2 linked regions of the Caenorhabditis elegans genome follow. The protein of the gene in region 2 purifies or fractionates together with the protein of the main gene of each other region. This does not show direct contact. Each region holds a gene or a part of one and is shown on either strand. Other genes may lie near its edges.

Region 1 (4,745 bases), on a different chromosome or scaffold from region 2:
ATTTCAGATGTAATGCTGCATTGGATTCTGCAAGAGCCGAGTCTATGCGAAGTCCGAGAATTGCAAACTTTGATATGTGCTTGGTGAGTTGTTGTTTGCTCTATTAAAGAATTGTAAACGATAATCATTTTTCATTTATTTTTCATTAGTTTGCATTTATAAGTTTCTTGATATCTACAAAATGAACCGAGATTTAACGTTTTAAAGTAAAGTTGTGGCGTGCCATACTAAAAAAGAAAATACTGTGATCATGATAGTGTTTCTTTTGAAATGACAATTCTCTTGGTATTTTTTCAGGCTGAAGTAAAATTTACAATGTCTACATTCAATGAAGTTCTGAATTTGCATTCTTCTGCAGAATGGAGACGGTGGGTATTCGAAGTAACTGTTTTTTTTAATTTTAATTTTCAGAAAGCTGTGGCTAAACGCCTACCGTCGGTTTGAAATTCTTGCGTTCATAGTTCTCCAAATAATTAATTTTGTACTATTTTCAACTTTCTACCAATAAAAAATTAAGTAAAATATTAAAATCAAATACCAAAATGTTCATTTAAAAAAGAAACAAAAAAGGATCAGTGCATACAGACACAAAAACTATGAGATCAAATATTTTGAATTTGTTTTGTTGTTTTGAACATTCAATTCTAATCGAGTGAAAAATGATGAGAGTGAGAAGAAAAAGAGAGATAGATTTTTTGGAAGAAGAGAATTAGAGAAAACAAGAAAAGAAACTGTCCGTCTTCATAAGAGCTCTTGGTTTGGAAAAAATAGGAGAAAAGGAACATTAGGAAGGAATCACAGAAACATGGACAAACATCGGGGAAGAAAAGGAAAATGTGAATCGAAGACAAGAATAACAAGAGGAAAAACGGTTGAAGGTGAGAAATGAGGACCCGTGACACATTGCACCAAAAAATAAGGAGTTAGTAAAGAAAATGAATGGTAGGGAAAAACAAGGAGATGACAAAAAGTGGTAATGTGCGACGACGATGGCGACATAGAAGCGGGTATCACCGGCACCCGCAAGATTCAACCCGCATGTCGGCATACTCTCTTATCACTATTCTAAAAAATAGATCTTGAAGTAATAAGACATGAAGTGTTTCGATTAACTTACACTTTATCTACATCCATGTAGAGAATCGAAAGAGGGCTCGTTTCAGTAGGCACACAGCAAGGTGGCGGTACCTGAAAAATATTTTAGGGTGAGGAATAAGTTTTGTCGTTTCTTTTCTAGTTTTCTACATGACCTCAAAATAAGTTGTTAGGCATGAACAAATTGAAAAACTCAAACCTATTTTTGTCTCATATTTTTTTCGAACAAGAAAAAATATATGAATAACATCATCTAAATCAATAAAAACCTTCTAAAAACTCACTTCATCAGGTCTCAAAGAGTGTAAAAGTGATTGAATAATAGCGTGATTAGTTGCATTTAACTGAGCTGGCATTGGATTTGGACAAGAGCCTTGACATTGATAAGCATCGTAGCCCTCTGAAATTTGATACGATTTCTCAATTTTTCTTCTAATTATCTTTAATTCTACTTTAAAACAACAATTAAAATACTCACTGGGTGCCATAATCCAGTCTTGCCAATTTAAATCATCAAAATCCACGTAGAAATCAGTCCTCCGACAAAGATTGCTCTCGGCCTCGGTGTTATGATGCTTTCTACCCTACAATAGAATTGATTAACAATTTTTCTACTTTTAAGAAATCACAAACCTTTTTTCGATTTTTTCGTTCGCTGTTGCCTGTTTGTGCACTCCGTTTCCGCCGCACACTGGACGGTTCGGACAGGTCACTGAACACAATAAGCGGAGCACTCTGAGCCCGCGCGTAGGGCAATGAGCTCAGTGAGCTGCTCTGTGTCTCTTCGATCTCCACATCTTCCGGCAAATCGATGAAGAAACTGATACGATTTGTTCGCCGCAAAAAAGCGGCGGTCACATCAAAATCGATCCATTCGGTAAGGTTGTCGACGGATCGAGATTCGATTTGAAATCGATCATTGTTCTGTAGTTTCATATTGTGAGAAAAAAAAATGCTAAATGATTTACATACTATATCATCTTCAAAAAAATAAATACTAATATTGCCGGACCTCCTCGCTTTGTTGTTGCGTCGTAACCGGAGCTGAAAGTGGCAAGTTACAGATGGAAGGTGTTCAAATGAGCATAAGAATAACATTTTCGAAAAAAAAAACAGAATTGAGAAAAACTCACTTTCAAAGTAGCCTTAGTCACTTCTTCATTGTGAGCATTTCGAGCAGCCAATGAGAGGTTATAAGACAACAAGAACCCTTCGTTATCTTCAATAATCTCCTGAAATTTAAGTCTTGGTATTTGGGTATAAGCTAAATCTAAAATCTCACCTTCGGATAATAGTGTCTGACCCAGTCGACATCATTATCATCGTCATAAATATCCCACATGTGTTGTGGAACATCAATGCTCGGACCAGTCTGCACAGGTACGTGCTCGAGTCCCAACTTCCGAAGCAAACCGCGTCGGGTAGCGTGGGACGCGTGTTGATCGGCAGCAGCAGACATTGGTGTGAAGGAGATGAGGAGGAAGAGGTGGAGAATGGCGGACAGTTGGAAGCTGTGAACAAGGGATTTTGTGCTTGAAATCGTTGTAGTTGTCCGCACAGAGTCGTTCATAGTTGAGTTGGGCGCATCAGGCAGCCACTGGACATATCGTAGGGAATGTGGAAACAGATTGGACAAAAAGGGAAACGGGACAGGACAAGGACTTCTATTTGCGGGGGGCTCGCCGATGACGACTCTCCTCTTGTTTAGCGCATAATCAGGCTGAAAAGTCGGACTATTTTTTTTTAAAGATACAATGATTTGAGATACAATGACAGAGAGTAATAGAACCCAAAGAAAACATTATAATTCTGTAAATTATAAAATAAATTTGTAGAAAATTTAAAAGAAAAATGTTCCAGATGTTTTTAAAGATTTTCCGTGTAAAAAAAAAGGATGCAAGTGTAATAGAGAAAGACGGTATCACATTTTTTAAAAATAATTATTGAATGTCCTCTAATAGACAGTTTTTTTTTCAAAGTTTCAAAGTATTTTTTAAACTCATTAAAAAATGCCACTAATTTCTACTACGAATCAAGCTACAATTAAGGAATGGTTGAAACTTGAAATGTTACAATCCTAGAACTTTGGTATATTTTTAAACTTTAGAAACATAATGCAATAAACAATGAATTCTAGCTGTACTTGGATCTAGTCAAGCAACCAGTATGAAAATAAGATTAAAATTGTTTCCAAGAACTGCGTTCAGACATCTAGACTTGTTTTGCAGACTGATGAAAGGACGAGAAGAACAAAAAAGTTCATAAATCCAAAAATGCAAAAGACGGGTTTTCGAAATGCCTCTTGTCAACTTACTACCACTGTTGCTTAAAAAAGCTCAAAAAATGACATATAAATGTGACGTTGAGGGGGAGGAGAGGAACACCCACCAGATTCATCGAGTGGGTGTGAAAAACAATAGCTCCACTTTCAGAAAAAGAGGAAGAAAAATGCAACATAATGTAAAGGATTGAGAAGAATGAAATGAGAGAATCGAATTTCAATGTATAGACACAGTTGGTGAAACTAAAGATGGAAATCAATTGAAAATTGGCAGCGATTTAGAGCCTGAGCAGAACCGTTGGCATATTGTAGACGCCATCTATTTTGGGAACATTCTTCTCATATTTTCGACACATATACACAAATCGCAACAATTCGGCACAGAGGGGGAGGCTGCGGGCGGTGCGCTCAAAAAAAGAAGGCGTTTTTGGTTATGATAAGTTTTGCGCTGCTGCTGCTGCTCAACCCGAGTAAAAAAGTTCCAGAGCACTAATGATGAATTGATCCCGAGGGATTGTGCAAGGTTGCCCCCTTTAACACTCGTCGGCACCGAGCTTGGGAAAGCTTTGAGTTGCAGATTTTGGTTGGTAAACATTTGCAAGAAGACCCCAAAGACGGACATTACAGAAAAAAGTGAGATGAGGGAAGTGAGCGTGAGAAAACTGGAAGGTCTGCAAGATTTGGCAAACAGTATGGTAATCAAGGAGGCTACTGGGAATTATAGAAACGTAAATGTTTGTAATTCAATTTCGCTCATTTCAATTTTCCAATTAATTTGCAAAATTTCACGACAAAAAAATTGTCTGAGTTCATAAAAATGATAGGAAATCTACAGCATTTCCAAATTTGTTTTCTAAACCAGGTTAGCAAGTATTGTAGGATTCAGGTTGCTAAAAACCGTTATCCGATTCCAGGGTAATAAAAAAGACATTTTAAAAGTCTACAAAAATTAACATGCTCATCAACGTTGAGGGGTGTTACCTAAATTTTTCTGAAGCTCTGAGTTCTGAAACTTTGATATAATTTAAACTCAGTTTTAGGTCTTGACAGCATCTAAGAAAAATCTAAGAAAAAATGTTATCAAAAATTCCAGGAAAATTATCTGTATTCAAAAAAAATTTTATACAGATTTCTTGCAAAAGTTCCAGCAACTACTGACAATATTTTTTGGGGAGCGGAACACTCGTTCTCAATATGAGAAAAATACAAAAAAAAACTAGGAACGGAATGTGTGACGAGTAAAAGAAGAATGAAAAAATGAGAAGCCTACATCACATGAGAGCCGACCGGTTGGTCTTCACGGACAGCAAGAAGTTGCTCGCAACTTCAAGAATGTTTTCTTCTCATATCTCGACAATGATATGATATT
Region 2 (5,381 bases):
CGTAACTTGCAGTGCAGAAATTTCTTGAAATATTTGATATCCTTAAAAATTTTCTAGTCGAGATTTGTCAAAATTAAAATATCATGAATCCACTTTTAACTTTACAAAAGGATGATCTTCTAAAATATGTGATAAACGAAATAAATTGTGAAAATGATATCAGATGTGCTTTGTGTTTTAACGAATTAATGTTTCATTGTTCCAACTGATGCAACTTGCAGTTGTCTCCCTTTTGTTTCACCCAAAAGAGTTGTCTAACGGTGCAGTATTATCTTATCAAACCACGTACAAGTATGCCTATATTTGCTCACAAATGCAGTGCACACCAATCCAGATAGATTCAGATAGAGAGATAATAAACGTACATTTAAACATGGTTGAGCTGATAATTTTGTTTGCTCCGTCTTCTGCCACAGGGAGCGCAAGTTAAGAATTTGTCTTATCGGCAATCTATCAAGGAAATATTAGGCAATGATGGACAATAATGTCGCATAATTACAACACGAACGTACAGGTCTGGAACAATGTTTATTCACAAAAATTGCAGTAAATCGAGATGAGAACAAGTTCATAAGAGTTGCACAATTAAAAAATTGATGGGAAATTATTAGAGAGATCGCTTTAAATTTTGACCGTTGTGGAAATATGAACAAAACTGAAAAAGTAAAATTGATTTTAAAGAAGCCAAAAATTTTGGTACAACGAAAGTAAGATCAGAAAGTGGGTTAAGATTGATTGGTGGCTGACTCAACAAGGCCACTGTCTTGCTGTTGGAATTCAACTTTACGCTGCGATTGATTCTGAAAACATAGAGTTAGATATAGCTCCTTAACGTGTTGAATTACCTGTCTGTCGGGGTTTTTGATCAACTCAGCCATTTCTTTTTTCAATTTAAGAGCAGAATGTCGGAAGTGTGGAATTGAATGCCAACTGTCTTCCATCAACTTGCTCAATTCATTAAGTGCTGGGACGTTTTTCCAGGCAAGATCCGGTGGTGGACGTATTCGACGTACACAAATTACATCGTTCATCTCGTCAAAATTGGGATCATTGTGCACGATTCCATCGAATGGTGGGACATGTTGTTTTGCTTTCAGAGATGTAGAATGTCCTTCTACATTTGTTTTTTGTAGATGCATTCTCGATATATTACCAGATGAACTAACTGACTCTCCGATACCACTTGATGCACTGTGATCAGGAGAGGTCTCATCGACAGTTAACACTTCCTCACAGGTGTTTACCTACAATCATGGCCTTTATTTTAAACTCATTGAATAATCATACCTCAACCCTGATTGCAACTTCCCACATAACAAGTGCCATTGAGTAGATATCTGCCATCTTGAACTGAGAAAAATCTTTTGGATTCAACTTGTTTGATATCAGTTCTGGAGCCATATATCGTTTTGTTCCAACTTGAACATTGAATTTTTCAGGGAGAATTTTGTCGTTTTGACTGAAAACATTATTCTTTCTAAATTTCAGAACAACTAAATCTTTGGTTTTCAGATGCATCATTTGAAATAACTCACTATCGTAGTGCCAAACCCAAATCAGCGATACAACACACATTTGGTCGTTTGACTATAATATTCTTTGATTTAATATCTCGATGTGCAATTTCAGGTTTTCTAAAGCTTCCAGTTCCGTGTACAGCTGCATGTAGATGTTCAATACCACATATACAACTGTGAATAAGTCGAAGAGCTTCATCTGTTGTCAATGTTTCTTCACGGCAAAGATAATCTGATAAAGATCCCAGTTCATGATAATCAGTGATAAGAAGCATCTTTGTCATTGAATCTTCCTCACTCCAAATATCAGCCGCCACGAATTCTGAAACAATTCTTGAAATTCAAAGTAATTTTACTGAAATAGCTTACGAAGGATATTTTCATGATTGATCATGTTAGTTTGATATACATCTCTTTCATTTTTCCATGAATCTTCATCAGTTGTGTAGAATGTTTTTACAGCCACGTAACTTCCACGATACAGAGCTTTGCGAACTTCTCCATATCTAAAAAATATAGGCAACAAAGATTAAAATAAGAATTAATTTTACCTTCCCTGTCCAATTGTTTTAATAATTGTTAAATCTTGTCTCACTGTCCTTTGGATCAACGCAGCCTGCCCAGAACCACTTCTGAAAATTGTATTTGTTAAAAACATCACTTTCAAAATAATGGGTATGATATCTCTATATCGCAAATACTCTAGGAAATAAAAACGAACCCTGAGTCTTCGAGCATTGATTTGCTCTCCATGTATGTTGATTCTGTTTTCAGAGACACCGTCTTGGCTCTGGCTCTGGCTTTAGATTTTTCTTCTGAAACAAAATATCAATTTAGTAATTTAAAAACTGTCTCACCTGCTCTTGTAATACATAAATAAATACATCCAATGACTGCAAAAACCGACATGACTGTTGCAAATACCATTATGAACATTTTTCCTCCACGTGTCATGTTTTCCAGTGGAGAATCATAGTCTTCTGGATTGTCAGTTTTCTCTTGAAGTGCTTTCTCTGAATAGTCCCTGTTAAAAAATTTAAATTAAAAAAAAACTCACCCTTGTGATGATGAACATATGCCGGCGGAATCAAATTCTTATTGCAATAGTTACCTTCATAGCAACAACCAATACTTTTAGGAGAATGGTGAGCTGCTCTCCAAGAATTACACTGAAAAACACCTGGTGAAATATTTCAAAAAACTCGATGAAACACCGTCAAATGTGAAGCTCCACTTCCTCTTTCCAGTGTTGCACATCCCCATTTATGAAGAGTTTCCATTCGTTTTTCAGCTTTGTTATAAACCTAAAATTTATTTTTATAATTTTGAAAATAATCATAATTGCAATAACATCGATTTTTCAAAAAAAAAAAATTATTATAATTTGTCAGTTTCAAGAAATGAGAAAAATCCATTCATTAAAAAACTGGTAACGCCTAGATCATATGTTGCTAACCTCCATGGTGTAAAAATATTCCAAAAAATAAAACGGAAACTTTCAAGAGCTACAAGTTAATTTTACCTCTTCAACGGCATGATAACAAGCAGCTCCATCTTGTTTCACACATGTCATATTATTTCCACATATCGACTGATCATAATTGCAATAACATCGATTTTTCAAAATATCATTGGGTCTGTTCCGAAGCTTCATCTCTTTTAAAACTTGTTGCCTGATAAGAAAAACTGAATTTTTGATAAAATATAAAAACTCATGTACCTGAACTCCTTTGGAACTCCTATTGCATTTTTTGGAATGCTCAACGCTAAGTCTTCATCGTCAAAGTGATCATAGTCTTTTGAGCATTTTTGAGTATTGAAAAATCCGAAAATGAGAATAAATATAAAGGTGATGTTCATTAAATCTGAAATTTGCAAATAAATTGATTAAAATATATTGTTAATGAAGTCAGTTGCGAAAAACATGAAAATAGAACGAGTAAAGACAGAGGTAGAGATGAAAAGACTGTTTGCCGAGTTTCCTCTCCGTTTCGTACAATATTTCAATCTACGGCCTCTTCTATCAGTACACTATCTCTCTTAACTATCTCATCATTCACTTAATGTTCTTTTTGACAACTTGTCCGCCTAATGATACTAATGATCTGAACGGAAAAGTTGCGCCAAAATGGATATATGTATGACCGGAGAATAGGTAGAAGTGCGGCGCCTTTCTGTCGCGCCACCCCATAAAATGACGGGGTCATTAAATGGCGTGGCGCCATTTTTCTGAGAAAAATAGATGGATTAGATTTATGTAAAAGAGGGTTGCACCAGGTGTTTCTTTTTTTCAATATCTATTCATTGTTTCTATCGTTTGAAGTTTAGCGATTTTTGGGCACCGGATGAATACAAGATTCGGAAGGGCACGACAAATTTTTATAGTACTACAATTAAAATCGTCAGTAAGAAAATATCATGAAACCATGCTTATAGTGCAAAAATGTCCCAATACCATAGTAACACCAAAAAAAACTGAAATTTTTTATGTATAGTCACAAATTAGTGAAGAACTAGAAGTCGGCAAAAAAAAATCTACGAGTTTTATTTTTTTGTATTCAAATGTTGTAGGGGTTTACCGTTTGAAATTTCTTAAAAATTTACTTTTTTGGAAAATTTGGCAAACACAGGGGAAAATAATCATAATAGGGAAAGTAACAAAATAACAAGTTACAATATTGCTTCGCCTATCATAATTTTGAAAGTCGACCAATAATCCTACTTTTGATCAAAGAAGAGCTCAAAAATTTGCAAGAATTCCGAAGTATTTAAAAATTTGGAAATTTGCCAAAACTGAAAATATTGAAAAATCTGAAACAAGCTTTGAGTTTTGGTCATTCAAAAATGATATTTATTTGACAATGAAAATCTGATTCTACATTTCCTTCTTTGTTGTTCCCAACTTATAAAATATTAATAGTTTACTGGGGACTCGACAAATATTATTTTTTAAAGAGTTCTGAGCACTTATCGGAAATATCAATTTTGTAATAGTATGATACGTTTTGAGGGCACTTTAGTTTATTCACAATACTGGGCTTCTAGAAATTTTAGAAAAAATGAAACTAATGTTTTGAATACTTAAGTTAATTACCAGTGCCAGTGTTTTAGAATAAAAAAACACTTTATAGGATTCTATGAGTTTTTGGAAAGTTCAGTCCCGGCAAAGGTTGCCGAAAGCTTCAAAAAGCGAAAGTATAAAAAGTTCTGAAACTACAGCTTAACACAATGAAGCTTAAAAGTTCTCACATTATGAATATAAACATGTAATGTACTGGAACAAGAATATAAAATTGAAGTCCAAAAAAGACGACAAAATAATGAAATCTCCAAGGCAACAAGAATGGGAAAAGATTCATGATGTATATTTTTTCCTGACAATAAATAATACGCAAGGGAATTGTTTTGAAACTAATATTATTTTTACTGCCACACTATTTCATTCCGTGACATTCCAACTAAGAACTTCAAAACGAAAAAATATTGACGATTGGAAAAAAATAAATCAGTTTTTGATTATTTCGTTTTCATCAAAAATTAACATCGTACGCAGTATGTTAAAATGCAAAGAAGACGATTTCGAAGTGATGACTACACCGCCGGAAGAAGCCGAAATGCGAGAAAATCCGAATGAAATGAAACGTCTCTTGACGCACATGTCCACAACCAATACACCATTTGTTGTGCACGATCGGACTGGTCTCAGACTCTCATTTGCTGGCCTTTTGCCCATCACAACTGGTGACAATGGAGAACAACGCATCTGGTCATCAAGTATCATTTTGAATAGTGCAGAACTTGGTGAGTTGACGTCGAATGAATTGGTTCTTGGGACTCTGGACTACTACAAATTTTGGTGCAACT

The links.
Region 1: the proteins of sma-6 (region 2) and dbl-1 purify together in Caenorhabditis elegans (affinity purification with western blotting, with the first as the bait; one study listed by BioGRID). This does not show direct contact.

The regions. Positions count from the first base shown.
Region 1 is NC_003283.11:6,756,205-6,760,949, reverse strand, and holds dbl-1 (Protein dbl-1), read right to left. Parts: upstream 2,816-4,745; 5' UTR 2,666-2,815; coding exon 2,378-2,665; intron 2,328-2,377; coding exon 2,229-2,327; intron 2,140-2,228; coding exon 2,068-2,139; intron 2,020-2,067; coding exon 1,729-2,019; intron 1,680-1,728; coding exon 1,574-1,679; intron 1,496-1,573; coding exon 1,380-1,495; intron 1,189-1,379; coding exon 1,118-1,188; intron 1,066-1,117; coding exon 1,011-1,065; 3' UTR 532-1,010; downstream 1-531. Other genes in the region: T25F10.4 (Neur_chan_LBD domain-containing protein), read left to right, coding at 8-83, 298-368, 412-508. UniProt on the Caenorhabditis elegans protein: Ligand for the serine/threonine-protein kinase receptor type-1 sma-6 which activates a TGF-beta-like signaling pathway. Multifunctional protein that is involved in body size, male ectodermal patterning, innate immunity, lipid metabolism and neural plasticity.
Region 2 is NC_003280.10:6,322,485-6,327,865, reverse strand, and holds sma-6 (Serine/threonine-protein kinase receptor sma-6), read right to left. Parts: upstream 3,383-5,381; 5' UTR 3,378-3,382; coding exon 3,238-3,377; intron 3,191-3,237; coding exon 3,040-3,190; intron 2,822-3,039; coding exon 2,732-2,821; intron 2,687-2,731; coding exon 2,575-2,686; intron 2,531-2,574; coding exon 2,375-2,530; intron 2,333-2,374; coding exon 2,239-2,332; intron 2,150-2,238; coding exon 2,069-2,149; intron 2,024-2,068; coding exon 1,887-2,023; intron 1,840-1,886; coding exon 1,536-1,839; intron 1,460-1,535; coding exon 1,288-1,459; intron 1,245-1,287; coding exon 846-1,244; intron 801-845; coding exon 726-800; 3' UTR 511-725; downstream 1-510. Other genes in the region: C32D5.4 (uncharacterized protein), read left to right, coding at 4,787-5,318.